Caenorhabditis elegans: one gene and its partners. The protein of the gene in region 4 interacts with the protein of the main gene of each other region in a pairwise test. Each region holds a gene or a part of one and is shown on either strand. Other genes may lie near its edges. The genes, in order: Y51H4A.8, clec-258, Y43B11AR.3 and nhr-2.

Region 1 (8,907 bases), on a different chromosome or scaffold from region 4:
GTCAACTTCCAGATTATTTAAAACTCAGAACTATGATGACGAAAAAAAAAAATTTTTTTTCGAATTTTTTCATTTCTTTGTGAAATCAAATACTTTGTATGCGTAGAGGTATAAGACAGTTAGTTAAACAAAACTGAAAAATTTCAGACTCAGGCATAGCTTATTGGTAGCGCTACATCTGTTTAAAGTGCCTAAAACGCTTGCAAAATTGACTTTTTTATGTTTAAGCAGTGCTAACTTTTAAACCATGAGAGATATACAAAAGTAATGTATTACAACATTAATGTACACATCATCAGCTACATTTTATCAGTATGTTACATTGTTGTCCCTCCTCACGTTTCTGAGTTACAGTTGATAGAAGTGAGCTTGGTCCAATTTTCAAAAAACCCTAATTTTCACGTTTTCGCCTGTAACTCCGAAATCAGGCGTCTAATTAAAAACTTCAAATTAAAAATTAAGTGATTTTAAATTATAATCGGGTTCACAGTTGACCGTTTTGTCATATCTCATATGTGGGCAAAGATATGAATTGTCAAAGAAAAGTTGCGGAAATTTTAGAAAATTTTCAAAAAAAAACATCGAAAAAAAATCCAACAGTTTTTTTTACAAGATAACCTCTAACTGTTTTTTGATTATGATAGCCTAATTAGTAATCAAAATATTAAATGTGTTTTTAAACGCTCATGTTCTTTTCGGAAAGAGTAAAACAGTTTTTTGCAATATTTTTCTATATTTTTTCGATCATGCATTTTTTGTTTGTTGACCGTTCATATCTTTGCCCACATATGATATGACAAAACGGTCAACTGTGTACCTGATTATAATTTAAAATCACTTTATTTTTAATTTGAAGTTTTTTAATCAGGCACCTGATTTCGGAGTTACAGGCGAAAACGTGAAAAATTAGGGTTTTTTGAAAATTGGACCAAGCTCATTTCTATCGACTGTAACTCAGAAACGTGAGGAGGGACAACAATGTAACATACTGATAAAATGTAGCTGATGATGTGTACATTAATGCTGTGATACATTACTTTTGTATATCTCTCATGGTTTAAAAGTTAGCACCGCTCAAACATGAAAAAGTCAATTTTGCAAGCGTTTTCGACACTTCCAACAGATGTAGCGCTACCAATAAGCTATGCCTGGTTCTGAAATGTTTTAGTTTTGTTTAACTAACTGTCTTATACCTCTACGCATACAAAGTTTTTGATTTCACAAAGAAATGAAAAAATTCGAAAAAAAATTTTTTTTTCGTCATCATAGTTCTGAGTTTTAAATAATCTGGAAGTTGACCGATATGGCTGATATTGTTGGGCTTGTTATTACTAACAGTCTTCTATACAACCGCAAAATATTATCCAAGAAAAAACCAAAACTAGAAAAAAACGAAAAAACTTATTGAACGACCTAATAATCAAATTTGGGCAAAATCTCTTAAGTTGGAGTAGTGACCGCACCGAACATTAACCTATTGCGTTAAATCGATTTATCAGTTATTTGAAATTGTTTTAAATAAAAAATATTTTTAAATCGTGTCCATTCAGATTATTTGCAGTTGCCTATATCAGCATAGTGACACAGTCAGAAATTTTTTGTGTTAACACAATGTAGCGAGAATGGTTGTAAGGCAAATATAATCATGATTTGTACTATGGAATACAACAATTCTACAGAAAAATTGTACTTATAAAAATTATGTTTCACAATATTTATATTGCGTCACTGATATTTTAGTTATTATTTCAGAACTTTTTCATGAGAAAGATCTTAAAATTTCAATGATATGATTCAAAACAATTAATTTAAAACATTAAATTCAAAAAAAGTAAAACTATTCAAAACTTTTTTTGAAAATGTTGTTTATTTTATTTCAAAAATGGCAACCATTCTGTTAGGCACTTATTTGGAAATCGTTGAAAAAAAAATGTTTTCCTCCGAATTTTATGTTTCAAACGGTAATATTCAATTATTTTAGGGATAGTTTTCTTTAAAAGTGGCAAAAACTTAATAATTGGCGCTTTTCGGAAAAAAAAAATTTTCTAAAATTTTTATTGTTTCAACATGCTTTTATTATACTCTTTGTAAATTGGGTTTTATTCATACGCTCAAATTGTATTTTGGTAATTAAAAAAATTGAAACGTAACCAGGAAATTAATATCTGCCAGAAGTAGTCAAATGTAAGCAAAACCTCTTAAGTTGGAATAGTGACTATGGTGGTTTTTACAGAAAACTGTCTTGTTATAGGAAAAAAATCTAATAGTAACACAATGGTTTAAAAGAAAGCATCTACATTTTTTTAAAGGTAAAACTTTTTGAAAAAAAATTGGATTTTTAAAAATTCACTGTAAAAAGTGACTATTACTCAAATTTTGCCACTCATAATTTTATAAGTCGATCAAAAAAAAACTTCCTACAATTTTTTTTGCCAAAACTTTGACTGGAAGTTGTAAAAAATTTGAGTTTTTTGGAGTGTTTTTTTAAATGATATCCCCACTGGCGCTACTCCTCCATCAATGACTTTAAAAATTGATAAGAAATCGAAAAATCTGAATTTCGAAATTTACCGTTTCACCGCGTGCGTATAAAACTTTTCATCACATTTTGATCTATTTCTGATAGTGATCCGCTTTCAAACGTGTAAAACAATTTAAAATTAAACCAGAAGCTTCCGATAAAAGTATAATCAATAATAGGCTCCACCTATTTTTGGATTTTCATTGTATTTAAAGTTTTCAAATCGAATCCAGGAACAAAATCTTCAAAATTTGCAACAAAAAAAAAATTCAGTTTCAGCCTTCAAACAAATTTTAGTAACGGCTGTTTGACAATTTTTCGATCTTTGGGTTTCAAATTTTTACGAGTTCCCTTTTACCCCCGCTTAGTATGCTTTACCTATTCTTACTGTTGGCACACCCACCCACAAGAAAAAGTGTTAACAATCAGTAATAAAATGATGCCATAACTATGACAAATATAAACATTTTTGGCAAATCGAAACAAACATAAGCTATTGTGGGGCAAAGGTTAAGGAAACGGTATAAAAAAGGATTGAGGTAAGGTTTAAACTTCACTTTTAACTTTTGTGATTTGAACCTTCAAAATGCTTAAAATTCTACTGCTCCTCTGCTTTTTCATCTCCACAGCCGGAGCCTGTGCTCCGGGTACCGGAACGCTGGGCTCCAAGGGAACATTCAGCTATGAAATGAACCCTCCTGCTCTATACACCTATGATTCTCTAGCAGAATTTGAAAACGGACAGTTTGATCAAGCCTATGCTCAGCGAGTTGTGGTGTCGGATGTGCAGAGTGCGGTGAGTTAAATGCAATTTTAAATAAAAATCCCAATACAGAAAAAATTTCTACTGTTTCACAAAATTTTTATGAACAGCTACAGTTTTCTTTGGAGTTCGTATAATTGCATTTATTAAAAGTCCAATTATTAAATGTCCAACTATGGTGGTGGATAATTTTGCCAAATTTATAAAAGAATGTGAAATGGCAACACATCGCATAATGTTTAACGGTTGCATTATTATTTGAAAAAAATTTGAAATTCTCAGAAGCTTTATAAATTCTAGTCTAGTTTTGATGAAAAGCCATATATTTTCTTAATTTCCATCAAGCCAGCCTATTCAATAAAAAGCGATTCATAAAAAGTTTAATGAAATACTTTTGAAACATTAAAAATTTTATTGAAATTTTCTTTTTTTTTTCGAAAAGTGCCAATTACTACGTTTTTGCCACTTTTAAAGAAAAGTATAGCATATTCCAATCTCTACAATAATTGAAAAAAAACCCATAAGTGGGCCATAAAATTCGGAGGCAATTTTTTTTTTGACGAAAACAATAATAATAACTTTTTAGGCACCGTAGAGTTGAAACACTCCCTAGTAAGATAACAGTGAGCTAATAAGAATATTATAAAACATACTTTTTTACAAATAAAATTTTTACGTTTTATTGAAAATTTATTTTGTAGAAACATGTTATATTCTATAGTACAAATGCATGATTATATTACAATCTTTCTATTTTCATTGTGTTAACACAAAAAATTCTCACTGTTTCACTATACTGATATAGCCAATTGCAAATAATCGAAATAATTCTGTTCTCTCCTAGAAACTGATAAATCACTCAAAAGCGACATACTAGGTGCGCGGTCAATGAGTTAAAAAATTTATTTAAAAGCCTGTAGATTTAATTCGGAATATTTTCCAAAAAGTATTCGCTGCGAGCAGGATTTGAACCTACGCGGGCAATGCCCATTGGATTTCAAGTCCAACTCCTTAACCGCTCGGACATCGCAGCCCGGTTTCGGAGAGCTGGTTGGGGTGTTTTCGTTACCGCAAATGGCTGTGTTGTTCGCACATTTTGAGCGGAGAAATGACTGAAAAAAGTATGCTGAAAGAGAAGAGCCTAGAGATGTGTCTACCTACCACTAAATCTATTTTGTTATCACTTTTGAATTATTTTTTTTAGAGATAACAATCTGAAACATTAATTTTTGAAATAAACCACAAAGTATCAGGTTGTCCCATAAGTTTTTGTACTTTTTTTCAAATATTTTTCCAAAACTTCTAGAAAGTTTTAAAATTTTTTCATCGTAGGTCGTGTCAAGGTCGGGTCGTCCCCTTCCAGAAAAGATTCATTTCATCCATTTCTACTTTGCCACGATGACAATCATCAAACTTGAACGTCGAGACGTTAGATTGCTTCTTCTTTATGAATTTCGTCTTGGTCATTCAGCAATGAAAGCGGAACGAAACATATGCGGTGCGATGGGTGAGGGAGCACTCTCTTATAATACAGCAAAGAGTTGGTTTCAAAAGTTCAAGAACGGCGACTTCAGTCTCGAAGAAATAGAACGTTCTGGGCGACCGGTAGAGTTAAATGAAGAAGACCTAGTGAAGCTGGTGGAGGAAGAGCCTCGTCTTAGTCTTCGTGAAATGGAAGAGAAGCTTGAGTGTTGTCATAGCACAATTGCACGTCACTTGGGTCGCCTTGGTTTTACTTCAAAACTTGGAATTTGGGTGCCTCATGAACTTTCGGCATCACAGAAGCTCACTCGGGTCAACGTTTGTACTCAACTTCTAACTTTTCGTCGAAAGTTCGATTGGCTGAACAATCTGGTTACTGGAGATGAGAAGTGGGTGCTCTATGTTAACCATTCCAGAAAACGTCAATGGCTTCCGATCGGTGAGAAAGGAATACCGACGCCAAAGCCTGATCTTCACCCAAAAAAGATAATGATCTGTGTCTGGTGGGGTGTTCAAGGACCCGTGCACTGGGAATTGTTGCCAACTAATAAAACTATCACTGCTGATTACTATTGTGCCCAATTGGACCGAGTTGCAGAAAAGACCAACGGAAAATATGAAAAACTATATTTTCTTCACGATAATGCTATGCCTCATGTCGCCAAGAAGACTTTCCAAAAGCTGCAAGATCTTGGTTGGACTGTTTTACCGCATCCACCATATTCTCCAGATCTTGCACCAACCGACTACCATTTGTTCTTGTCTCTCAGTGACTACATGCGCGACAAGCAATTCGACGACGAAGAGCATCTCAAAACTGAACTCTCCACTTTCTTCTCATCGCGTTCGCCGGATTTCTTCTCCCGTGGCATCATGATGTTACCTAGTAAATGGCAACAAGTGGTGGACACTAATGGTGAATACTTGTGTGAATAGTACTACTTGTCGCTTGAGAGAAATAAATTTTTTTCAAAAAAAAAAATAGTACAAAAACTTATGGGACAACCTGATATTTATACCCATTATCAATAAAAAAAAACTGTTTCAAATATTTCATTTTTCAGGTTGTATAAAATTAATTCGTTTGTCGATCTTTTGAATTCTTTTTTAAAGATAAATAAGTCTGAAACATTAAGTTTCAAAATAAGCCACAAAGTATTTATACCCATTATCAAAAAAAAACTGTTTCAAATATTTCATTTACCAGATTATATTTCGGAGAGCTTGCTAAAATTTGTCCATACGAACCAAAAAAAATTATCTGCTCAAAACTTGTATAATAATGGAACCAAGTAGAGCGCTAAAACACTAAAAACACTATACAATACCAAAAAAGTTTAAAAATTCAAAAAATTCAGATCAACGACGTATTGCAAGCCAACAGTATCCCCCTAAACGACATAAACCCACCAGTCATCACATTCTCGCCTCCAAACGTCACACTTACTACAGTAACCGAGTGCACCGCCGACACCGCGGGTTACGGTGTTCTACAACAATCCACAGTCTACTATAAGTGTGCAGCGAAGGCTGGAACCGATGGAAAATACGCGAAAAGTCCGTTTGTTGTCCCTTTGACCGTTCAAGTGACCGCGATTTCTGCAATTTATGAGAGCCAGTGGAAGATGTTGGCTTCTCAGATGGCGGACAAGTTGACGACGAAGAGAGGAGCACAGTTTTATACAGATCCTATTGTTACTGTTGGTTAATTGGTTTTTTTTCTTTTTGTGGATTTGAAATAAAATTATATTAACAGCGAGAATTTTTTACATGTATTGAAGTTTGAACATGGGATTTGATCTGGCCGTACAGAATAGAATACGGAAAAAGTTGAAAATACTTTAACGTTATTTGAAACAGGGAAACATAAAGTTTTTATGGGCGTTGAAAGCGAAAAATTAAAAGTTGATCTGATTTTGAGAATTCAAATTTTTGACTGTTTCATTAACATCACTTAAGATGTGCATTATTTTGATTCAGTATTGAATGATATGCCAGATCACTGCAACTTTTTTCGAACGAGGGCCGAGAAAAAATGCGAAAAATCGGTGTTTGCACACAATACACCGCATTTTACGACATTTTGTACTTGCTTTGTTTTCTTGTGTTTTTCACCGATTTTTCCCGTGTTTTCTTATTAAAACTGATAAATAAATATTTTTGTTAATGCTAAAATAATTTCCAGATGAAAAAAATTGTGAATTCAGTCGGCAAGTAGCGGTAAAAGTGGTCAATGTAATATGATGGATTACGGGAATAAAAAACCCAAACTTTTTCCCAAACATGATACATATGATGTTTAGATGCTGAAAGTACCTGATTATCATAACGAGACCGCTGAAAAAGTTTTGAGATTTTCAAAATTCAACTTTTTTTGTGAAAATCTCTACACCAAAAAAGTTGAATTTTGAAAACCTCAAAACTTTTTCAGCGGTCTCGTTATGAAAATCAGGTACTTTTAGCATCTAAACAGCATATGTATCATGTTTGGGAAAAAGTTTGGGTTTTTTATTCCCGTAATCCATCATATTACATTGACCATTTTTACCGCTACTTGCCGACTGAATTCACAATTTTTTCACTTGAAAATTGGTTTAGCATCTGCAAAAAATATTTATTTATTAGTTTTGATAAGAAAAAACGGGAAAAATCGGTGAAAAACGAAAGAAAACACGCAGAAAACAAAGCAAGATAAATGGCCGCTGAAATTTGTCAGGGACTCGGCCATAGCCTAGAAACCTTTTTGCCTCGTCCCTCGTTCGAAAAAAGTTGCAGTGCAGATTTCATATTTATAAAAATAAGAGCGGATGTGTTTGGCAATGGTCTGTAATGTAATCTGTAATGTTAGACAATATGGTTTAACAGGAATTTATTTTTGAGAAAAAATAGGTATTGCGTCTTATATGCACGCAAGTTTTCAAAAGATTATTTTGTTTATTTTTTTGTCTGGGAAGTTATAACTTTACAGTAAGATAATACATGAATTCCAACCACATTTTTGCAAATATGCTTAGTTCCGGAAACACGACATTTATTTTTTAAAAATATAAGGAAAATTCAATCACTAATTTTTTATCTTCTCAAGATTTAGCCAAAATAAACTTTACTGTTGCATTATCAACATTTTAAGAGTTTCACGATGTTAGTTCATTTTTCTCATCATTGGAAAGGTAAAAACATTAGTTTTCAGCCAAAAAAAACAAAAAATATATTCAGGCCTTGGCTGAACGTGGCTTAAAAATTTAGATTTTAATCTAAAAAAAACATCTGGATTCCGTCCCAGAATATATAATTAAAGGTTAAATCGATTTAATTGTTTATGAAAATAAGAGCTGCTATGTTCTGTAATGGAGCGAAATATGGTTTTACAGGGATTTATTAGCTGAAAATATATAAGGAGCACGTCATTAATTAATAAATGCCAACCCCATTTTTGCAAATATGCATAGTTCCGGAAACATGTCATTTATTTTTTTCAAAAATATAAGGAAAATTCAATCACTAATGTTTTATCTTCTCAAGATTTAGCCAGTGATTCGCAGTTGATCATTTATAAAAATTTTTTTACTGTTTCATTATCAACATTTTAAGAATTTCACGATCAGTTCCATTGCTTCCGTTCCATTGCTAGTTTTGATTTTTAATTAAAAAAATTTCGATCACGCTTTGCAAAGAGAAAAACATTACTTTTTAGAAACAAGAACATCAAAAAAATTCAGACCCTGGTCTAAAAATTTAGATTGTAACCTAAAAAAACATCTGGATTCCGTCCCAGAATATAGAATTAGAGGTTAAATCGATTTAATATTTATGAAAATTAGAGCGGCTATGTTCTATAATGGAACAAAATATGGTTTTACAGGTATTTATTTACTTGCTGAAAATAATAAGGAGCAAGGTATTAATTTTTCTTTAAATATCTGAAAAATCTGATCCCATTTTCACTAATGTTTCACCACCCCGATAAAGAATTTGACATTAATTCGCAATTGATGTATTCCTTATACTTAGCGAACCCTGAAGTTTTGAAAACATTCTTAATTTATTTCCAAAATATTGCAGAGTTTACAGTTTTTGGATGAAGCCGTTCGTAGAGAGGTTAACTTTAAAATCAGTAATTTTTCACAATTCACAAATAATT
Region 2 (6,578 bases), on a different chromosome or scaffold from region 4:
AGTTAAAAAATAACCGAAAAACTTTATTCTTTTATCGTGGAAGTTTCCCACAAACATATGTGTCAAGCGACTGATCGCAGAACACATCGTCCATATTCCCATTGTAAAGACTGAATTGAGGAGTGACAACGCCAGCATCGGATGTTGCATGTACAAGCAACGTTAGGCACCATTGCCTTCTGCAGTTATGTAATATTTGAATTTTGACTGAAGGTATAACTCACAAGCTCATCAAATCAGGCTGATTGACACCATAAGTAAAACCAGCTGTCCCATTTGTAAGACCATCATCCCACTCATAAGTGTCAGCGGGGGGTACAGATACCAGGTCGGTAACATTTCGCTTTTCTTATTCCACCGATCCAGGTGATGGTATTTGCACCGGGAGATTTTTGGTTGATAAGGGTTCTTAATAGGTCTGAAATAGAGAAAAGTGTGAAAAATTATAACAAGATGAATATTTCTTACGAACGGTTTGTGTAACTTCATTAGCAGTTTGGAAGCCTGTTAGGTTGGCTCCATGTTTTTGGCACGCGGCTTGTGCAGTGATGTGGTTCGTGTTCCCGTAGAATGGCTTAAAGACACTTTTTAAAATGGTTTATAAAGCGATTTTGCACATGGATCTTGAAATTCCCGCCAAAACCCTTTTCTCACAAAACATGTGGTGCCAAAGGGTCCCATTTTGGTATGACCTTCGAAAATTGCGGGAGAAGAGACGCAGACTTTTCAACTGATTTCGCATGGTTAAGAGTAGGGCTCCCATGAGATTGCCGCGCCGGCGTGAGGCGCGGACCTCCGAACGTGTCGGCCGCTTCCAAACAAACACCACTTCGCACTACGTTGCGCACACACAGCGGCGCGCGGCATCAGCGTGAGGTCGGCGTGAGGCTCGCATTTTGCGCCTCAGTCATCTCGGAGCCCTAGTTAAGAGTGTGCTGACGTCACACTTTTCTGGGAGAAAAATTCCCGCATTTTTTGTAGATCAAACCACAATGAGACTCCCTGACACCACGTGAAAAAATTTGAATGCTTTTTCCTAAAATCTCACCTTAATACACCATCTCCCATGTGGTCTATCAAAGGCCGTCCATCCACTTTCACAAGATTTTGGTCCAGATGGTCGGGGTGTCCTATGTCCACGACCACGATGACTGTGACCTTCATCCGAATCAGAGGATCCAGAAAAAGAATGAGCAAAGACCGAGGATATACCAAAAGCGATGAGAAAAAGCTTCATAGCTGGAAAAAGGAACTGCTATCAGTTTTTGAAATATACAACGCTCCAAAATGAAAACTGAAAACTATAACCTGTTTCACTTCCTTTTCCTGAATTTATATCGCTCCCTCCGCATTTTTATTGCTCATTTTTAATGGTTCCATCAAAAGTTATCGTCAAAAAAACTTGGATTTTAAAATTTTCAAAGAACATTACCGGAATCGGTATTTGCCATGAATACTGCCACTTATCATAATTAGTTTGAAAAAATTTCTTTTGTTTTTTCCCTCTTTTCAAGGAACTTTTTGTAAATATACCATTTTTTTTCTTTTTTTAACGATTTTCGTGTTTTTTCCCTATTTTTGAATGCTGGAATTTTCTGGAATTTCTTTTTTCTCTTCCGCCCAGCCTGATCGTAGGCATTAGTCCAAGCTTTACCCTAAGCCTGGGCCTAAGCCTGAGCCTGAGCCCAAAACTAAGACTAAGCCTAAGTTTGAAGTCTAAGCCTGAGCCTAAGCCTACGCCTAAGCCTGAACCTGAGCCTAAGCCTAAACCCTAGCATAAGCCTAAGCCTATGCCTGTGGCTATGCCTAAGGCTTAGGTCAAACCTAAGCCTAAGCCTAGTCTAGTAAGGTTGTAAAAAATCGATTTTTGTAATTTCTTGGCGCAATCACTATTTTTTTTTAATTTAAACTGTTTATAGTTACACCTGGATTTCCCAAAAGCAAAAAAAATCGATATTGAAAAAAAATTCCGACAATTAAAAATATGTTTCATTAGGCTCAATTCTTCATTGCTGCCAGCCGTCTTGCTTGAGGTTGTCGGGTTACTGTAGCAGGTACTGTAGATGGCCTATAACTGCACACAAAGTTATGTACCTCATCATCTCCCAGTGTATTCCACTTTGTATTAGTGATGTTTTCAGAAAAGTAGTTTTGTGCAACGTTACTTCCAAAGTTGGTATAGGAAACTGAAAGACCGGTATCCCAGGACAAGGTTTTAGAAATAGGATCCCGATTGAGCCCTATCCAGAAGTGTTTGAAACCTTCACCAAATATTGAACCGGCGTAGACTAAAAAAAATTAGGTACTTATAAAAAAACCTTAAATTATAATAGATAAAACTATTAAAACTCACCGGCCAAAAAATTACTCGTTTCCTGATCAGGGACATATGCTAGCCATGAAGGCCCAGCTGGGTTATGATGATGACACCAATCACGAGCATCTTCATATTTCATCAGAGAAGTCACAAATTTATAGCATATTCCTTTGATTTCCCTGGTTTGGCCATCAATGTCAGGACAATCGGTTAGTGATGATGGAATAAGTATTGCCAAGAAAAGAAGTTTCGGGAACATTTGGAAATGTGGTGTTTAGGTTACTTTTTGCGTGTAAAACCTTTATATATGTATGTTAATTGTTATCAGTATTAAACTATGTTCATTTTATGTAGAATGACTTTGAAACCGATAATGCATCAAATTATCAATTATCAGCAAGTGCGTCTTTATCGAAAGGTTAAATAGCGTATTTTGTAGTAAGAATTTGAAAAAATGTAGGAAAAATAGATTCGAAAAGCAACAGAAATAAAATGTAATTGGAGCAATTGCATAGTTTCAAAAATGTTTGCAAAAGGACAGCCGGCGAGAACATGATACCTATATATAGGCCAATATATATATAACAATATGGAACCTATTTACATAACACATATTTATCTAATTCTCACATACCTAATGCCTATACACCTAGTGCCTACACATTTATGCACCTAATACCTATAAACCTAATGCATATATACCTAATACATATATCCCTAATCACTATATACGTAATGCATATATACCATACCTAATAATTATATACCTAATACCAATATGCCTAATACGTATATCCCTAATAACTGTATACCTAATTCCGACACATCTATGTACCTAATACATATATACCTAATGCCTATATCCATAATAACTATATACATAATACATATTTACCTAAAGCCTATACATATAATGCATATGGCTATATACAAAATAACTACCTGATTACATAATAACTATATCCCTAATACTATATCCCTAATAACTATATACGTAATGCATATATCCCTATGAACTATATTCCTAATACATATATATCTAATAACTATACCAATACATATATACCTAATACCTGTATACCTGTATACAAAGGTCATCCGGCAAGCACATTATTATCATTTAACTTGTTGGTACAAAAAAAAATCAATAACTCTTTATTCACCCGCATTCATTTCGGAACTTTTCCACACAAGTACGTATTATGTGCCATCCTGCAATCCACATCATCCAAGTTCCCATTGAAAAAGTGCCATTGAGCAGAAGTGAGGCCCCAGTCGACTTGGCCATGTACATGTTGGGTCAGACAGAATTGTACTCTATAAGCGCATTAAATTTGGAATTGGAATGTACACGTGGTGTCCGAGTATCTCATTTTGATTTGTTGGTTTGATCTCCGAGAAATGCGGGAGAAGAGACGGGGAAAAATTCCCGCATTTTTTGTAGATCAACCGCAACAAGACAGCCGGACACCACGTTGAAATCCTAGTTACCCGCTATGAATATCAGGCTGATTAACGGCAAAAGTGAAGCCAGCGGTGCCATTTGTATGGCCATCTGTCCATTGATAACTGTTAGCCGGGGTACAAGACTGAACAGTTGGGCAACTGGCTTTTCTGATCCCACCGACCCAGGCTATTGTGTTAGCGCCGGGGGATAGGGCTCTGAGGAGGTCTGGAAACTGAGAATTTTCTGGAATAACTGCGGATTTTAAGGCTTTACGTGTAGCTCGCATTGATTAATCGGCAGTTTGAAATCCAGAAAGCTTGGCTCCCTGAGCTTGGCAGGCGGCTTCTGTGGCGTCATGGTTGTTGTTCCCGTAGAATGCCTGAAGGTATAGGATATAGGTACAATAGGCATTGAGCCTTACCTTAACACACCATCTCCCTTGTGGTCTATCGAGACACTTGAAACTAGGGCTGGCCATCCGGACTAATCCGGACGAAACCGGACGTCCGAATCCGGACTTCCGGACAACGGACGTCCGGTTTTCCGGAGAAGGAGATCCGGAAACCCCTTTTCAAAATTAGGCCACGCCCACATGGAGACCCGTGGGTGGCAAATGATGCTGGAAAATTTTTTTCGGCAGGGGACTTATGTGAACCTATATCCCGACATTTTCTGGGTTCCGCCGCTCACTATAAAAACGCGCACACTAGTGTGGGCACTTTCACAGTGAGGCGCGGAACCCAGAAAATGTCGGGATATACGTTCACATAAGTCCCCCTGACTGGAAAACTTGCCAGCATCCATGTGGGCGTGGCCCAATTTTGAAAAGGAGTTCCCGGGTCTCCTTATCCGGAAAGCGGACATCCAGAAGTTCTGGGCACCGCTCTTCCCAAATCCGGACGTTCGAAAAAACCGGACGTCCGGTTGGCCAGCCCTACTTGAAACAGCAGAAATTTGAAAATTTAACTCCAAAAAATGTAGGTTCTTAAAATGACATTATAAAAAACTGGAATTTCTTGATTAAACAAGTGTGACGTCATTATTTTCAGGAGCCCGCAATTATTGGTCAAATATTTTTTCTCTGCGTTTCACAATTTTTTCACTAATCAATTAGTGAAGATCAAGTAATCACCAACACCAGAAATGTACCTTATTTTGCTGATTTTAACAGAAAACTCAAATAGAAGCTCCTGGAATATTTCTTTGAATGTTTGAAAACTAACTGCTGACCATCCTCCAACTGGAAAAATTCAAAAAATTAATTTTATGATCGGTTTTTGGGTCTACTTGGGGGTTGGGGGTTTTAAGAAGTTTGTTGAAAATGTTTTGAGGTCACAGTCTTGATGTCGCCCACTACAACATCCAATCCTGCCCAAGCTTTGTTAACTGACATAAATAGTGGAAAAGTTTTATTCACTTTTTGTCATCCATATTACAATTACATTTTTTCAATGCAGATACAAATTTCAAGGTATGTAGGCTATGCAATGTATCAGATGGATATTTAAACTTTTCGGCGAAACCTGCTAGATGTCAGAACAAAACTAAAAAAAATTACATTACAAAATTGATTTTAAATCGTGTTCTTTGCAACACCTGTTGTAGCATCTTCCACTTTCTGAAAACAAGAGATTTTAATTCAGAAATTCCAAAAATTAAATTTACCGGTGCCAAAGTGTTTCGGAACACAATTTTCAAGAATTCCCTGCGGATAGTGCTATTTAAAGAGACATATATAATAGCAGGACTTGCATGATTACATGTCCAACATATTTGTCCAAATGCAAGAATCCATTCAGCAGGGGTTACAATTGCTAGCGCGTTGTAGACCAAAGCAGTTCCGGTATTGAAGAAGCAAATTATGGAGCATTGAATGAAAATCTGAAAGATTTTCTTATTTGGATTGATAAGTTAATGTGATAGAAGATTCAAAAACAAAATAACTACTGTTCCAACTTTTTGATTTTAAACTTGACACTTAGTTATTACTGTCCTCTCAGACATATCGTGTTCAATTGCAAACAAAAAAGACATTTTAAAATTAAAATTAAAAAAAAATAAATATTAAAAGCACAGCATGTTGGTCTCAAATATACAACTATCTTGAAACTCCTATATATTTTTCCAATTTTTTTCAAAGACTAGAATTTAAAAAAATACTGGTAGCGTGGAGAACAGAAAAATAATCTATCGGGAACTGGTAAAATGTCTGACTCACTGATCTGGAAGCCTTTGATTTCTGTCCCTTCGCCATCCGTTTTACCATTATAAAATACACAGAAAATAAAATGAACATGCATGCCACAAAAATCCAATTGTTCCACGGTAGAATGGTGTGTTTGTACTGAAACGTTTTTTAATCTCTGAGGACTGTTTTCTTATTAATTCTGAAATAGTAATTGAAGTTAGACATTGGTTTAATAAAAAGTTGAAACTGCAAAAAAATATTCCAAATAAGTTACCATTGCAGCTGCCTCTTTACTGGGTACTTCCTCAGATAATGGATCAGGAATCCATGCCATAAATACAGAATTATACGCAGTTGTGGGTGTAAACCAACAAATGTAGAATCCATAGAAAAGTACAAAACTGATTGAAGTATAGGCGAGTTTCTTCTCGATTACATCTGCATACTTCCTGAAGCCAATACTGATGATCCGATTGGAAAATAGAGACGTGGTGGCGGCACATGCCATACACCAGGTACCTGAAAAACTTATAAGCTCCCAGAAAATGTGATTGGTAAAGTCTATTTTGACGCTTTGCCAATTCTGAATGAATGATGCGCCTGACGTATACTGAGCTTTAGAATCA
Region 3 (6,921 bases), on a different chromosome or scaffold from region 4:
TAGGCACGCCTGCCTGCCTACTTTCTCATTCACCTTCAAATAAGAAATCATTTAATTTTTACAAAAGAAAGTAGGACAGAGTGTGGACACAAGGCAGGCGTAGCTTGCCTAAACGGTAAACAGGCAGGCTTTTTTTGCCTACTAGGAAAGCTTGGTTTTCACTGAATTAAATTTGTCAAATTTAAAAGTAACAAACTCTTTAATACTCATATTCCATTCTCTCATAGTTACAGATGTCAACAGATGTTCCATCTTTCAATTACTTCTTTATTCATAATATTCTGCAACAATTCTGTTGAATACCTAATTTTTTCTTCTCCATTCGGGAATGGGAAAGAAAGAAAGACGGGACAAATGAGAATAGAATATCAAATTGAAAAGATGGATTATTGAGAAGAGAAAATGAGAATAAGAACATGCATTCTTCATTCATCCAACGAATCCCTTTCTGGAATATTCTTTCAAGATTTTCAGTGTTTTTAAAAAATATTCTGTCTGGTTTTAAGAGTTTAATATCATAGTTAAATAAAAAATAGCAAACATTTCCGATTGAGGCAAAAAGATAGATATTATTTTTGGAAATTATCACAATTTGGTGTTATCGGACAATTTAAAAACTAACTTTCTTCAAAACTATGTTGATAACTACTATTTACCGTAAGAACTTGAATTCCTGAATTATATAGACATCAGCTGATTCATGCTTCGTGTTGTTTGTCGAAAAATGTTTCAGAAATAGATTTCTGAAACCCCATTTTCCATATTACTTTGATGCTTTATAAACATACCGTAACCTTACCAATTGACACCCATAAAAATGTGTTTCAACGTCTATGTGAACTTTTTGCTATTTTACATTCTTCTTCCTAAGACCATTTTTTTAGCCTGTTCGTGTATTTTTTCTTTTCAGAATTCTCAATTAGATTTCTACTCGCTTTTCCTGCTCTTCTATATGTTTTCTGCGCGCGCGTTTGAAGAGAGGAGCACAAAAAATAACCAAAATACGTGTTCACACATGTGTTCAGTTGGAAGACGAGGGGGGTGGAGCAACAAGAAATACACATCTTTCTGGGATTTTTAGTTTTTCATTCGTGCTTCATCAGAATGCAGAAGCTGGTAGGTAGACGACAGCTTTAGTACTAGAACTTTGGATTTCATTCGAAAACAAATTATGTACCTTTTCGAGAATTTGATCCTTACTCGGTTTTGATTCTTGATTTCAAGCAAAGAAGTAATCCTATTTTGGAAAACCGTCCCAGTTTTCTGCAACTGTTTGCCAGCTTTCTGTGGCAGATTAGGCCACTCTCTACATTGTATATCACCGAGTTTTGCGAAAATCGGATCGATTCGCTTTTGAGCATTACTAGATATCAAGGTAATGAAAATGTGTTTCTAAGCTTCTAGGCTCTAGAAAAAGCTTTCTAGAAATACTCAATTGGTATGCATTGTATGATTTAGGTCATCCGTGTGCATAAATTTTAGTTTGAAGCCAAATCAATTCTGAACCACGAATGTTTTAATGTTATTAAGACTTAAAAAATGGCATCTAGAATTGATGTTGTATTAAGTTGTATTATTTTGGTTCATTCGACAAATAATGTTATTTGAAATCAGTTGACTAATCTGAATGATCAATAAACATATAGTCTTGAAACAAGTTCTTGCATGGAGGTCTTATTGTTCTCGGTTTCCACGTGTGTTTATTTATTCGACTTTGGTTTTCTTCATTCATCAGATTTTCCCGTTTTTCGACGAATTTCTATCTTATGACAAACTATCCATATAAATATATGAAATCATGCTAGAAAGTTTGTTCAACTCAATACAATATTCTATGTTCTTGTGTTTTTACTTTTTTCATCTCAAAAAATCTTCATTCTTTATCAAATGAATAGCGGTATTCTTCAATAGGAATTTTGATTAAAGCTATTGTCAAAAAATTCAATAGCCTCTGATTTTCCTCGAGTTGTTTATGAGAAAATGAGTCATTTTCTGATATTTCTGGGTAGAACCAACACTTTCTCTCAAAACATTTCGGGTTATTTAAGTTATATTTTTCGCTATATCTTTTATGCATGGGTCTCGCCACGTTTAAAGTAACTCGCTGACAGCGTGGCGAGACCCATCCGCGCAATATAGCGAAAATTCTCATAAGTTTGATGTCTACGTAATAGCTTATTTTCAGCTGTAAACATCCCTCTAGACTAGAAATAATTTCCGTATTATCCCATTCACAATATTGGTAACCTATATCCAGTTACAAGCGAACGTCTGAAGCAAACGTATTCGTTCTGAAAACATAACTTAAAGCCCCATAATTTTCTAGTGAATCCCGCAGCGATCTGAAGTTGCCAGTACCAAATTTTATGAAGTAAAGAGTATTTCGATAATAAATGTTCTATAAATTCCCAATTGGACATGATTTCTCTCGAAACCAGAAGTTTTCGAAAAGATCAATATTCTACATCAACTCAACTCATCACAGTAATCCTCCAATTCTCTCACTTTTTGTGTGTATGTATGATCGGTACTGTCCATACGAAGAGAGGAGGAATCAACGATAAAACGTTCACGATTCATTTCGATTCGAATATATCTATAAAATTGCGATGGTTTTGCACAACCACCCCCGGTTCCTCCTCGTCGTTTTTTGTATTTCTTTCTTTCATTCGTTCTTCTCAATTTTACTGGTCGGTTTTGTTGTCGTCAAAAAGGAAAAACTTATTTCCATATTTCGTATCTTTCCGTGGGAAAATTTACAGTACATAAATATGAACATTTATGTCATCTGCAGACACAATTTCCACGAGTTTTCAGTTCTTCTTCTTCTTACTCTCAATTCTTCCTCTACTTTGAACATAGTTTCTAGATTTATTTTGTTTCAATTTTCAGCCTTCAATTTCTCTCCAATATCAAGATGAAATTTGGCACATCATTCCTTCTCGTTGCCACCATCTCAATGATCTTCGCAGTAGTAAAAGGTAAACAATTAATAAGTATTATATTCATCATTCTATTTAATATTTTCAGCTGAGGATGCTGCTCCTGCTGTCGTAGAAGCATCACCAGCTCCAGTTGAACCTGCTGTGACTGGTGCAGTTGCTGGAGGAGATGGAAATAAAGAAGCTGGAGAAGAAATTACCGGAAAATCTGCTGGAGGATCTGCTGTCGATGTGAGTTCTGCTGGAAAAACGGAGGCAGATTTGTAGTACTGTTTTAAAAAGAATCTAATATGTAGTCTGAAACATTTTCGAATCTTATTGAGCTAGTTTGCAAAACTGTTTTAATTAATAATATTCCAGGTATCTACTGTTGTCCCAGTCCATTCATCAGATATTCCTGCTTCATCTCCAACTATCGAAACAACTACAAAAAGCTCAACAACTTTCTCAGCTCAACTTCTCGCCGTCGCCGTCCTTGTCCTACATGCTGTTAGATATTGAATGATAACTTAATTTATATTTAATTATTTTATCGTTCCCTCTCTCTCTCCCACCCCTCTGTTATCATAAAAAATCATAAGTTCGTCACATCCATACTTTTCTCTAAATTTAACTCAAACTATATGCATATACATCATGTTCTACTACTTTCCGTATCTAACCTATTTTTTCAGTTTATTTTTAATAATAAATTCGAGAATAGAATTAAGAATTAATAATTTCTCGGCCATGCTGGTCTCATTGCATCGTAATCATCCAGTTTTGTGGATTCTTTCAATCCGAAACCATCGAAAATCTCCCGATTTTTTGTTGAATCTTCCGGCTCAACGCTTTCTGATACAATCTTCTTGTTAACTGATTCGGAAGTGATGATTTTTCTGAAAAACAAATTAATTAATGTGTGCTATTTATGGTATTTCTATTATTTTGACATACCGATTCAGAATTATATTTCTAGCAATGTTCTGTAGATTAATTTGTTTTTCTAACAGTGCATTGTCACTTCCAAATGGTCCAAAATTCTGTCTCTGAAGTCGAATTGTCGTAGACTCGGTACCAAGGTTTGAACCAATGTGCTCAATCAATTGTCTGAACATAACATTTCAAAAACGGGATTTTAAAAACGGGAAACCTGAGCATTTCATCGTCTTCGCCAGAGCATTGAGTTGTCACAGAGAATTTTGGTGATCGGAACCAATTCAAATCAATCGAATAAACTATTTGTGAACCGGGTAGCTGAGCCCGTGGAACTCCTCGACGAGCTAATTCAAATGCTTCTGAACTCTTAAATAACTTTTTTTATATATTTATACAAGAATCTCGAATAATCACCTCCATATCTACATTGGCATGACGAAATGAGGCACTACGAAATTCAGATTCCAAGCGTGACAAAACTTTCTCAATTCGATGCTTTGAAATTTTCGAAACGTCTATATTTTCCGACTTTTTTATAATTCCATCGATTCGATACACATTTGTCCATGACTTTGACATGAGTTCTGGAATACTTTCACAACCATCATTGACACCGAACACTGAAAATATCAATTTGTTTTGAAAATTATTAATTCTACCTTACAGCAGACTCCAGAACTATTTGTGGCCAACGGTAGTACGTCTACCAATTGAATGTCCTCTTGTCTGATTGATCTGCCAGACACAAGTGGATGATATCTGAAAATAACAGAACATTCTTCTCGTTTTTATGCAGATCTTGTGAATAACCAAATTTTTGGCTAAAATATGTTAAATTTTCCAAAATCAAGTTATTGCTCTAACTTTGATATATTTTAAATTACGACTACCTGTAATCAGCCACTTCATTCCGGCCGACGACTACTAGAGCGCCTGACTTTTCATGAGCTTCGATGACTGGGATGGAGATCAGAGGAAGTTGAATTCGAGAAGTAGATTCAATATCAGAGACAGATTCGGCGATCTTACGAGTAATCAGCTTGATCAACCCAGCGGAGGAAATTCCCGAGTGCTTATAAACACAGAGAACACCGGACAAAGACTTCCAAATATCAAGATGACCCATATCCAAAAATGCAAACTTTAAGACTAGTCTCATATCTCAAAGCGATAGGTTTGCTAAAACAATTTCCCTTTTGAAGATTAAGTCGTTTTTTAGATTAACAATTTTATTTTTCAACAAAAACAACAGTTTAGTGCTTCTGGGCCATACGCTTGTCACGCTCTTCGGCGATTGAGAGACGGATTCCAGCTCCAGTTGGGAGGGAGACGAGAGCCTTGTTTCCCTTTCCAATGACGAAGACGTTGGAGATACTGAAAAGAAAAATTTGAATTAGCAACCAACCTTAGCCGGACTTTTACGACCCTCGCGGCCCCCGACCTTCATTCTCCTTTAGCCTTTTAGGCAAACTTACCGAGTGGCGAAGGAGTGTCCAGCAGAATCCTTGATGTGGATGATGTCAGATGCTCCTGGGAGACGCTCACGATGTCCGATAATTCCGACACGACCAACGTTACGTCCTCCAGTGACGTAGGCCAAATTTCCTGGCTCGAACTTGACGGAGTCGGTGATCTTCTGGGTGCTGATGTTGAAAACAATGGTGTCGTTAACCTTGACATGTGGGTCTGGGTAGCGGATGGTGCGTCCGTCAGTGGTGGTGAGGACTGGAACTCCCTTGTTGACGGTGCGGACAGACTTGACCTTGCAGAGCTTGAAGTCGGCCTCGGCAGCTTGGATTCTGTGGACGACGTATCTTCCCTTGGTATCGTAGAGCATACGGAAATACTCGTTGGTACGCTCGATGGCAACGACATCTGAAAACGCGAATACAAAACTAGAAAGAATACAAATTATAATTACCCATGAATCCGGTTGGGAACTTGTGGCAGGTTCTGACCTTTCCGTCGACGCGGACAACTCTCTGGGTGAGAATCTTCTTGGCCTCGGTGTAGTTGAGAGCGTACTTCAGACGGTTACGGAGGAACAAGCTGAGTGGAAGGGACTCGCGGAGCTTGTGTGGTCCTGGGTTTGGACGAACAGCGAAGACTCCTCCGAGTTTGTCGAGCATCCAATGGCTTGGAGCAGCGAGACGCTTAAGATGCTTCTTTGGTCCTCTCATTTTTCAAGTGTGTACCTCAAGCTGGAATTTTGAACTTTAAAATGAGAAATCACGAAAATGTAATGATAAAAATAGTGAGAGTAAGCATAAAATGGAACAGATTAACTACATAGCACAACTATCGCTCAAAAATGATATTTAACATCGTTATTTCATTAAAATATGAAAAAATTAAAAAATTTTGCGTTGAGAACAGGAGAAATAGGAAAAATCTCTCTAAAAATTTCCTTGCGTCTGGCCTAAAATCAATTTCGCTGCGAGACCTGGCAGCTGTACAACTGGCTGTCCCTTGGACGCAAGAAAGCGTGCCCTGTCGCACTCTCTGTCGTGAACTCCTCTCCAACGAACAATTTTATTTATGCTGCGACACGATTTCGATGAATTTTGTTTCGTTATCAGTACATTCAATGAAAAATTTTAATAAATTAAACTATAAAAAATTATTTTTAATATGCTGAAAATGTTATTTCTATTTTTCTTGATCCTATCGAAGAAGTTCGTGTATATTCAGATTTTGTGTTCCATTTTCGTAGTTTAAGACCAAAATCAAGAAATTTTTTAGTGGTTTAAATGTTTTTATTCACAAAAAATCGATATTGTTCAATATTTCAAGGAGAAACAAAGGCGACTAAAAAAAAGAAATTGAAAAATAAAAATTACATTCTACACAAATTCGATAATTTTTCTTTTGAAAAACATTAAACGACCATTTACTGATAAAACTACTGGAAAGAAAAAATTGGAAATATGGGGAGTTTTTAAGAATAATTCCAGCGAAAGGCAGTTTCAGTAGACAGTAAATGAGTAGAAAAGACGTATTTTTGTTGCAAAAGGCACTTTTTCGAGGGATTCATGGGGAAAGGAGAGTGGAAGATTTGGAG
Region 4 (7,935 bases):
ATCTCGACCCAGAAGTGTATGTCCTTTTCAAAAAAATGATCTCTGCCAAATTGTGCTCCACAGTACTCGGACAAGCCGTCATTGATGCCGTTGTGAATCCACCAAAGGAAGGAGATGCATCGTATGCTCTGTGGAAACAAGAAAAGGATGCAGTACTTGCTTCTCTTAAGGAACGTGCTACACTCGTCGAGAAGGCATACAGTAGCATTGATGGAATCAGCTGTAATCCAGTTCAAGGAGCCATGTACGCTTTCCCGCAAATCACGATTCCACAGAGAGCTGTTGAAAAAGCTCAGTCTTTGAACCAACAACCTGATTTCTTCTATGCTATGCAACTTCTTGAGACCACCGGAATCTGTATCGTGCCAGGAAGTGGATTTGGACAAAAAGACGGAACTTATCATTTCAGGTTTGTGATACTCTAATTCACATTTAATACAATAAATCTAGATTCATTGTTGGTAAATTCAATTTTTTCAGAACGACAATTCTTCCACAGCCAGAACTCTTCAAAGACATGCTCTCCCGGTTCACTGATTTCCACCAAAAATTCCTTGCCGAATACAAGTAGACTTTGAACAATGTCTAATATTCTTCTTTTCTCAATTTTCTCAGCTTTTTTTCTTCTATGTCACTTTTTGTTTCATAGCCAATATGATAGGGTCTAAATGCGTTTACTGTGTAGATTCGATTAATTTTAATTATTGCATTGATGAATTTTAACATTCTTTTTTTTGTAGAAGACTATACTGCCACTTTCACCTGACAAACAATAGGACCTCAGACAGTTTCTGGCACACTCTTATTGATGGATTCCCAAAATACAAGGTCTTTGTCCAGAACCGCCGTTCAACACAATGTGCATTCCACTCGATCCAATTGAGCAGATTCTAATTCACCTAAACGGAGGCCCAATCTGTGACAGTTTATGACCAAATATTCTGTTGCACAAACGTTACATAATCAGGTCAATCTGCCTGCACACACACAATGTTGCCGACTGACGTAACACAGAATGATAGTTTATTGGAGGAAAACAAATGGGCTCTCGAGATAACTGGAGTAGATTACGCAGTTTTGAAATATCGCAGTATTCTTCACTGTCTATCTAAAATCTTATAAAACCAAAAATTACCTCCAAATGGGTTTCTTGGAAAACTACATGGTTCGGAAAATTCGGAATTGTTTGGTATTTTCAATTTATTTTTGAAATTTTCATACACTATTTCCAATTCTTAGTTGGAAAAATTGTTGTTAACAAATTTAAATGTTTTTTTTTGTTGAAAAGTCTTAAAATTTCAAAAAAATATCAAACAATACATATATTTTGCGAAATTTTCGAATTACTTACTTAAGTTTAGAAACGGTTTTGAATACTGAATTCTAGAATATTTCCAGCAATGATTCTCGTCACTAAATGTTTTCTCATTAGCTAAATTAAAATTGACAGCTCGGCCGTTGATGATCCCTTCTGAAAAGAATCAAGATTAGATAACCCCAATCGTTGTCTATTTTCAGAATAAATCGATATTTATAGTTTGACCTTTCCCTTCTGTCAGAATGTATTCGACCATCTGTGCTAAATTGGGGATGGATTAAAGATCCTTCATTAACCTCTATATTACTGTACTATTATAGTATTCTCTGACACATAGCCTCTCTATAGATAGGGGTTACAGAAATGAAATGTTACCCCAAAAGAGGGTTATGAGCATAGAGTTCCAGCAAAAGAATTGACCTACAAAGAACCAAACTTGGCGGCTAATTAATGTTTTGAAAAATTATGACGTCACACTATTGCTTAGATTTCAGCCATGTACTGATTTAATCACAAACATAATCTAGATATAATCTATCAAATTTCTATTCTGACTGTGTGTGTCTTTCAGAAAACCTTTAAATTTCACTTTCCGGAAGAGATGTACAACTATTTTCACTTACAGCAATACTTTTTGGTCGATATATTCCAGCTACAATGACGAAATGTTTTTGGATTAGGGACTGTAGGTGTACTGTAGCTACAGTGCTGTAGCTGAATTTAAATATTATTTTACAGCGTATGAGAACATTATAGGCTACTTGTGTTACCGCTGGGTCCGTAGTTGTTTGGCTTCGAGAGAGGGAAATTTCCTGAAAATTAATGTTCAAGAGCTCTACTATTTCTTCGACACTTTTTCTCACTGAAACTTGATAGACTCTTATTCTGCAACTCATATGCCAACTGAGAACCATACCCAATTTCTCAACAATATCTGTTAGTTTTATCCGAACGCACAAATATATTACAACACCACACTGCGAATATTTGGAAGAGATGTCATCACACCCACTTTCCATCTCTTCACTGTCACCTTCTTATTCCCATAGACCACCAGGGGCGGAGCAGCACACCGTCGTTGCAGGCAGAACGAGCAAGAGTGCGCGAGAACAGTGTGTGCAAGGTCAGATGGTCATTATGCAACCAATTCGAGCGTTCGTTGACCAACATTTTCGCGCGTTCTGTCAGTCTGTTGAATTGTACACTATTTCATAGTATACTCTTTTTTTCAATTTATTAACTCTTATTATTTTTCTATCTCTATTTCTTTTCTAGTTTTCAGATGGTTCCAATGAATCCAGAATTGATGCATTATCCAAATCAACCACATATGATGCCAGGCTATCCAATGATAAATGCATATCAACAGTCATATTTACAGAATCCGGCACAGTAAGTTTTTATATTTCTGTATCCAGTCATAACTTTTCGTGCATTCGAATTATTACAAAACACCAATTCTCACTTTCAGATGGACCCCAGAAATGCTTCTGTGTATGCAAATGCAAATGCAGCAAATGGTTCCAGGAACAGCAACAAACTCAACCTACATGCCACCACAATCTAAAAATACAGTCACTCCAAATGCCACATCACCGCTGAGCCAGATTTCGGACAGAGATTCGGGAAATGACACAATCTCTCCACCACTCACTTCACAGAACAGGTATGTATTTCTTCTGCGCGGTAAAAAGAAGAGTTGCGCAATGTTTGAGTGTTTGGGCGGTCTCTACTTTATGGTCCAATTTGTTTCACGCAATACGTAGAAACAGGTCACCTTGTGACGTGGCAACTGGGTAAGAGAGTGACAGGTCAGAAGAGGGGGCAGATGGGGGACTGTATTGATGACGTGGCAGATGTTACCTCCTAATGATGAATCATATTGAATCCTATTGGCAGGATTCAAGACATCTAAACGGGAATCTCTTTCAACTGGCAAGGTTGGAAGTGGGATTTGAAAATTCAGTTAGTGATTTCAAGTTGATGTAATTTTTACCAATTCACACCTAATTAGAACAAAGAGCGGTTAGATGCAACAAAAAATATTTTAAGATGTTGTACAAAGAGATTAGGTGAGAACAATAGAGTCAGATTTAGCGGAATTTGAGAACACGGTTGTACAGTATGCCGAGGGAATTCTACGTTTCAGCGAGTTACTAAATTAATAAATAAGGCAACGATGACTGGAAGATTACTTTATCCTTTCTATAGTAAAAACGTTAAATTCAATTTTTCAGCGCAACCACTCCAAACTACCATAATCAGCCACAAATGCAATTGACTCCACTTCAACAAGCAAAACCAGAAAAAGAAGAAATCTCACCATATGCAATTAATAATATTCTTTCTTCGACTCAAAGTTCTCCAGACAACGGAAATGAAGCCGATGATAAAGAGAACAGTTCTGTTCGTCGTAACACATTCCCAGCGTCATCTGCTTCAACAAAAAAGCCACGTGGTACTCCATATGACCGTACTAACACACCAATGACAGTAGTTCCACAAATGCCACAGTTTGCTCCAGACTTTTCAAACTATAATCTCACAATGAATGCTTGGAGTGAGTTCTTTAAAAAGGATAGATGTATGGTTTGTGGTGATAACTCTACTGGATATCATTATGGAGTACAGAGTTGTGAAGGATGCAAGGGATTTTTCAGAAGAAGTGTTCACAAGAATATCGCATATGTTTGTACCAAAGGAGAAAATTGCACAGTGAGTTTAATTAGACAAGCATTTCAAAAATATGCTATTATATTTTTCAGTTCTCATATGAAAATTGTGCGGCAAATCGTGGAGTACGTACTCGTTGTCAAGCTTGTCGATTTGCCAAATGCCTCGCAGTTGGAATGAATCGTGACAACGTTCGAGTGAACAAAGAAACTGATAAAGATGTTAAACCATCAGTGGCTTCGCCCAATTTTGAGATGACATCACAAGTGAAAGAGCTTACGGCCGCCTTTGTTGCAAACATGCCATGCTCTACTCACTTAACATCGGGAACTCATGCTATTGGAGCAATTAAGAAATTTATTGAATCAGTTCCAGCTTTGAGCTCACTTTTGCCAAAAGATGAAAAAGCACTTGAAATGAGTATTCAAAAAGTGATGAGTGGTATCTTGGCTATTCGTGCGGCTTTCACATTTGATCCAATCACTTTCTATTCCTGTGAGAATCCAGTAAATTTGCTTCGTGGCGGCATTCGTAATACAGTATTCAATGATTGTGAAGTTGCACTTCTCTCTGGAATTCATATACTTCAAATAGTCAATGGAGGTGTCGCTGAGGTAAGTAATTGTTTGGCATAATGCCAAAATTGTCGGAATATTCCCAAATGACACAATTAATCCCTACCATAACACTCAAGAAAGTAAATATTGCGCCAAGAAAGTTAACCTTTTTCAGATTTTTACGAGTTATTGTCAAGGATTACGCCATCAACTGTCTCAAACACATCTACAAGAGATAGGACTCTGCGATCGATTGCTCATGAGATTGGGACCGTATCTCAATCAATAACAAATATATTACTTCTGATAAATTCAGAACCGATTCGGTGTCTGGACACGCTTCCAACCGGTTCTGAATTCTCACAAAACTTTATTCCTGTCTTATGAATCAATATAGATTCAAAATACTTGTTTAAAGTCCCCTTCCCCCGTTACTATCATTTTCTATTCATGTTCTCAAAGTCTGATCATTTCTTACTGATCTCTTCCTCCAGGTGTGAATTTAATTCTCTATCTCACTCTCTCGTTCGGGCTATATACTGTTTCTTTTTGAATTTCCAATTGATGTTGTTTGTTAGGCTGTTACAGTACCAAAAATTATATTATTTGAAGTTTGTTAAAAACTTAATATATTTGGTACTGCTTCTTGGTTGTTGAAAAGATGAAATAAATATTATTTGATAATTTAACTATTTTGTATGCAGGAAAAAATTTGACGTGCCACAACTTTTACCGTTATTTGTCGTAATTTGTCGTAATAGTAATTTGTCAATTTATTTGTCAAAATTAGTCAATTATTAAAAAAATAATAAAATTAATAGAAACGGTCGTCAGATGCGGTGCTTGCGTATACAGTATACTTCGGTGTTCACGTATGATCGACTACCGTAGTTCTTTGTTTTCGGTTCGACGCGCGAAAAAATTAGAGTGCATTTTTCGAGAATTCATTTTTTTCATTCTTTTCCGGACTTTTCTTGTTCGCGGACGTTTTTCGCTTCTTTTCTTTACACGCGTTATTGACTGACAAGTTTCAGAATGACTGAGCTCAAATTCAAGGGAGTTTACGTGGAGGATATAGGCCATTTAACATGCGGAACGCTTACATTGACTGAAAATTCGATTAACTTCATAGGCGATAAGGGTGGAAAATCAGTTTACATCACAGGAACCGACGTCGATAAACTGAAATGGCAAAAGCTTGGCAACAAGCCGGGACTACGCGTTGGTCTTAGTGATGGAGGTGCTCACCGCTTCGGAGGATTCTTGGATGATGTTAGTTTGTTGTTCGTTTTCTTTATTTTTATACGTTTGTAGTCTCATTTTATTCAAATTCGAAATTTCAGGATCTTCAGAAAATCCAATCGTTCACTTCTTCTAACTGGTCTAAATCTATCAATCAATCAAATCTTTTCATCAATGGATGGAACTATGGGCAGGCCGATGTCAAAGGCAAAAATATTGAATTTTCATGGGAAAATGAACCGATTTTCGAAATTCCGTGCACGAATGTGTCAAACGTCATTGCCAACAAAAATGAGGCTATTTTGGAGTTCCATCAGAATGAACAAAGCAAAGTTCAGCTGATGGAGATGAGATTCCATATGCCAGTTGATCTAGAAAATGAGGAGGATACTGATAAAGTAGAAGAATTCAAGAAAGCAGTGCTGGCATATGCTGGATTGGAGGCTGAAACTGAGCAACCAATATGCCTTCTCACTGATATTCTGTGCACAACACCTCGTGGAAGATATGATATTAAAGTTTATCCGACAAGTATTGCACTCCACGGAAAGACGTACGATTACAAGATTCCTGTCAAAACGATCAATCGTCTATTCTTGGTTCCTCATAAAGATGGACGCCAAGTATATTTTGTGTTGTCGTTGAACCCACCCATTCGCCAGGGACAGACACACTACAGTTATCTCATTTTCGAGTTTGGGAAGGATGAAGAAGAAGATTTGGAGTTGTCGTTGACTGAGTGAGTTTATTTCAGAATTTTCTGGGAACAATTCCGTGCCACTCAAATATATTTTATATTGCCGTCCAATAATTTGAGAGTATTTCAGTGAACAACTCGACTATTTCAATGGAAATCTTCAACGTGAAATGACTGGACCAATCTATGAGACAATCTCAATTCTCTTCAAATCAATTTGCAATCTGAAAGTCACCGTTCCTGGACGATTCCTCGGAAGTTCGGGCACTCCTGCCATACAATGTACACATCGTCAGAACCTTGGATTGTTGTACCCAATGGAAAAGGGATTTTTGTTTATTCAAAAGCCGGTCATGTACATTCGCTTTGAAGAGATTAGCTCATGTCATTTCGCACGTTCTGATAGCGGAACTGTAACAAGAACTTTTGATTTTGAGATTGATCTGAAAACTGGATCATCGTTGACTTTCAGTGCAATGGATAAAGAAGAGAACAACAAACTATTCGACTATCTAAACAAGAAAGAGATCAAAATTCGCAATTCTCATCGTATCGATAACAAATCAGCTGGTTATGGAAGCAGCGATGAAGATGATATCGATCCATACAAGTCAACTGTGAAAGCAGAGGGTCGTGAACAAGATGATGACAGCGATGATGAAAGTACTGATGAGGATTATGATTTGGATAAGGATATGAAGAAGCAGAAGAATGACAAAGACTCATCAGAAGGTTCTGGAAGTGAACCTGACGATGAATATGATTCTGGCTCAGAGAAAGATGCTTCAGGAACTGGAGAATCTGATCCAGATGAAGAGAATATTGAACCAAAAAAGAAGGAGAGTAAAGAAAAGAAGAATAAACGCGAGAAGAAAGAGAAGCCGGTAAAGGAGAAAGCTGTGAAGAAAGGAAAGAAAACTAAAGATCCAAATGAGCCGAAACGAGCAACCACTGCATATATCATCTGGTTCAATGCCAATCGTAATTCAATGAAAGAAGATGGGGATACACTCGGAGATGTTGCTAAAAAAGCCGGAGCAAAGTGGAAGTCCATGAGTGCGGATGATAAAAAGGTATTTTTATAGACTTTTCAAATCAAAAACTCTTTTAATTTTAGAAAAAACCATGATTTTCGAATCTAAAAAATTCAATCACTTTTAGAGCCATTAAAAATGTTTTGTTTTATCCCGTTAGTAATTATTTTTATTCAGGAATGGAACGATAAGGCTGCACAGGACAAGGCAAGATACGAAGCGGAAATGAAAGAATACAAGAAGAATGGTGGAGGAGTAGAGAAAGCATCTGGACCATCCACGAAGAAAAGCTCCGATCAATCTCCGGGTAAACAGTTCAAGTCTAAGGAGCATATCAGTGATACGGATGATTCCGATGACGATGAGCCGCTAAAGGCGAAGAAAGACGAATCCGATGCTGCCTCCGAGTCTTCT

What was found.
Region 1: the proteins of nhr-2 (region 4) and Y51H4A.8 interact in a two-hybrid assay, tested with the Caenorhabditis elegans proteins (one large-scale study listed by BioGRID).
Region 2: the proteins of nhr-2 (region 4) and clec-258 interact in a two-hybrid assay, tested with the Caenorhabditis elegans proteins (one large-scale study listed by BioGRID).
Region 3: the proteins of nhr-2 (region 4) and Y43B11AR.3 interact in a two-hybrid assay, tested with the Caenorhabditis elegans proteins (one large-scale study listed by BioGRID).

The regions. Positions count from the first base shown.
Region 1 is NC_003282.8:16,572,716-16,581,622, reverse strand, and holds Y51H4A.8 (DUF4136 domain-containing protein), read left to right. Parts: upstream 1-3,073; 5' UTR 3,074-3,107; coding exon 3,108-3,317; intron 3,318-3,413; exon of another isoform or gene 3,414-3,434; intron 3,435-3,620; exon of another isoform or gene 3,621-3,642; intron 3,643-3,865; exon of another isoform or gene 3,866-3,889; intron 3,890-4,112; exon of another isoform or gene 4,113-4,134; intron 4,135-4,235; exon of another isoform or gene 4,236-4,317; intron 4,318-5,850; exon of another isoform or gene 5,851-5,871; intron 5,872-5,994; exon of another isoform or gene 5,995-6,015; intron 6,016-6,124; coding exon 6,125-6,475; 3' UTR 6,476-6,529; downstream 6,530-8,907.
Region 2 is NC_003283.11:19,784,702-19,791,279, reverse strand, and holds clec-258 (C-type lectin domain-containing protein), read right to left. Parts: upstream 2,841-6,578; 5' UTR 2,577-2,840; coding exon 2,354-2,576; intron 2,289-2,353; coding exon 1,999-2,288; 3' UTR 1,895-1,998; downstream 1-1,894. Other genes in the region: srt-45 (Serpentine Receptor, class T), read right to left, coding at 5,338-5,382, 5,430-5,645, 5,983-6,108, 6,227-6,471.
Region 3 is NC_003282.8:7,078,622-7,085,542, forward strand, and holds Y43B11AR.3 (TruB_N domain-containing protein), read right to left. Parts: upstream 5,096-6,921; 5' UTR 4,987-5,095; coding exon 4,751-4,986; intron 4,620-4,750; coding exon 4,525-4,619; intron 4,481-4,524; coding exon 4,275-4,480; intron 4,227-4,274; coding exon 4,075-4,226; intron 4,032-4,074; coding exon 3,879-4,031; intron 3,821-3,878; coding exon 3,655-3,820; 3' UTR 3,596-3,654; downstream 1-3,595. Other genes in the region: nssp-41 (MS Related Protein), read left to right, coding at 2,918-2,981, 3,031-3,173, 3,303-3,443; rps-4 (Small ribosomal subunit protein eS4), read right to left, coding at 5,114-5,234, 5,336-5,735, 5,782-6,040.
Region 4 is NC_003279.8:5,815,774-5,823,708, reverse strand, and holds nhr-2 (Nuclear hormone receptor family member nhr-2), read left to right. Parts: upstream 1-2,574; 5' UTR 2,575-2,600; coding exon 2,601-2,710; intron 2,711-2,789; coding exon 2,790-2,984; intron 2,985-3,555; coding exon 3,556-4,033; intron 4,034-4,083; coding exon 4,084-4,605; intron 4,606-4,723; coding exon 4,724-4,837; 3' UTR 4,838-5,235; downstream 5,236-7,935. Other genes in the region: C32F10.8 (alanine transaminase), read left to right, coding at 1-409, 481-571; hmg-3 (FACT complex subunit ssrp1-B), read left to right, coding at 5,584-5,820, 5,892-6,529, 6,618-7,560, 7,699-7,935. UniProt on the Caenorhabditis elegans protein: Orphan nuclear receptor.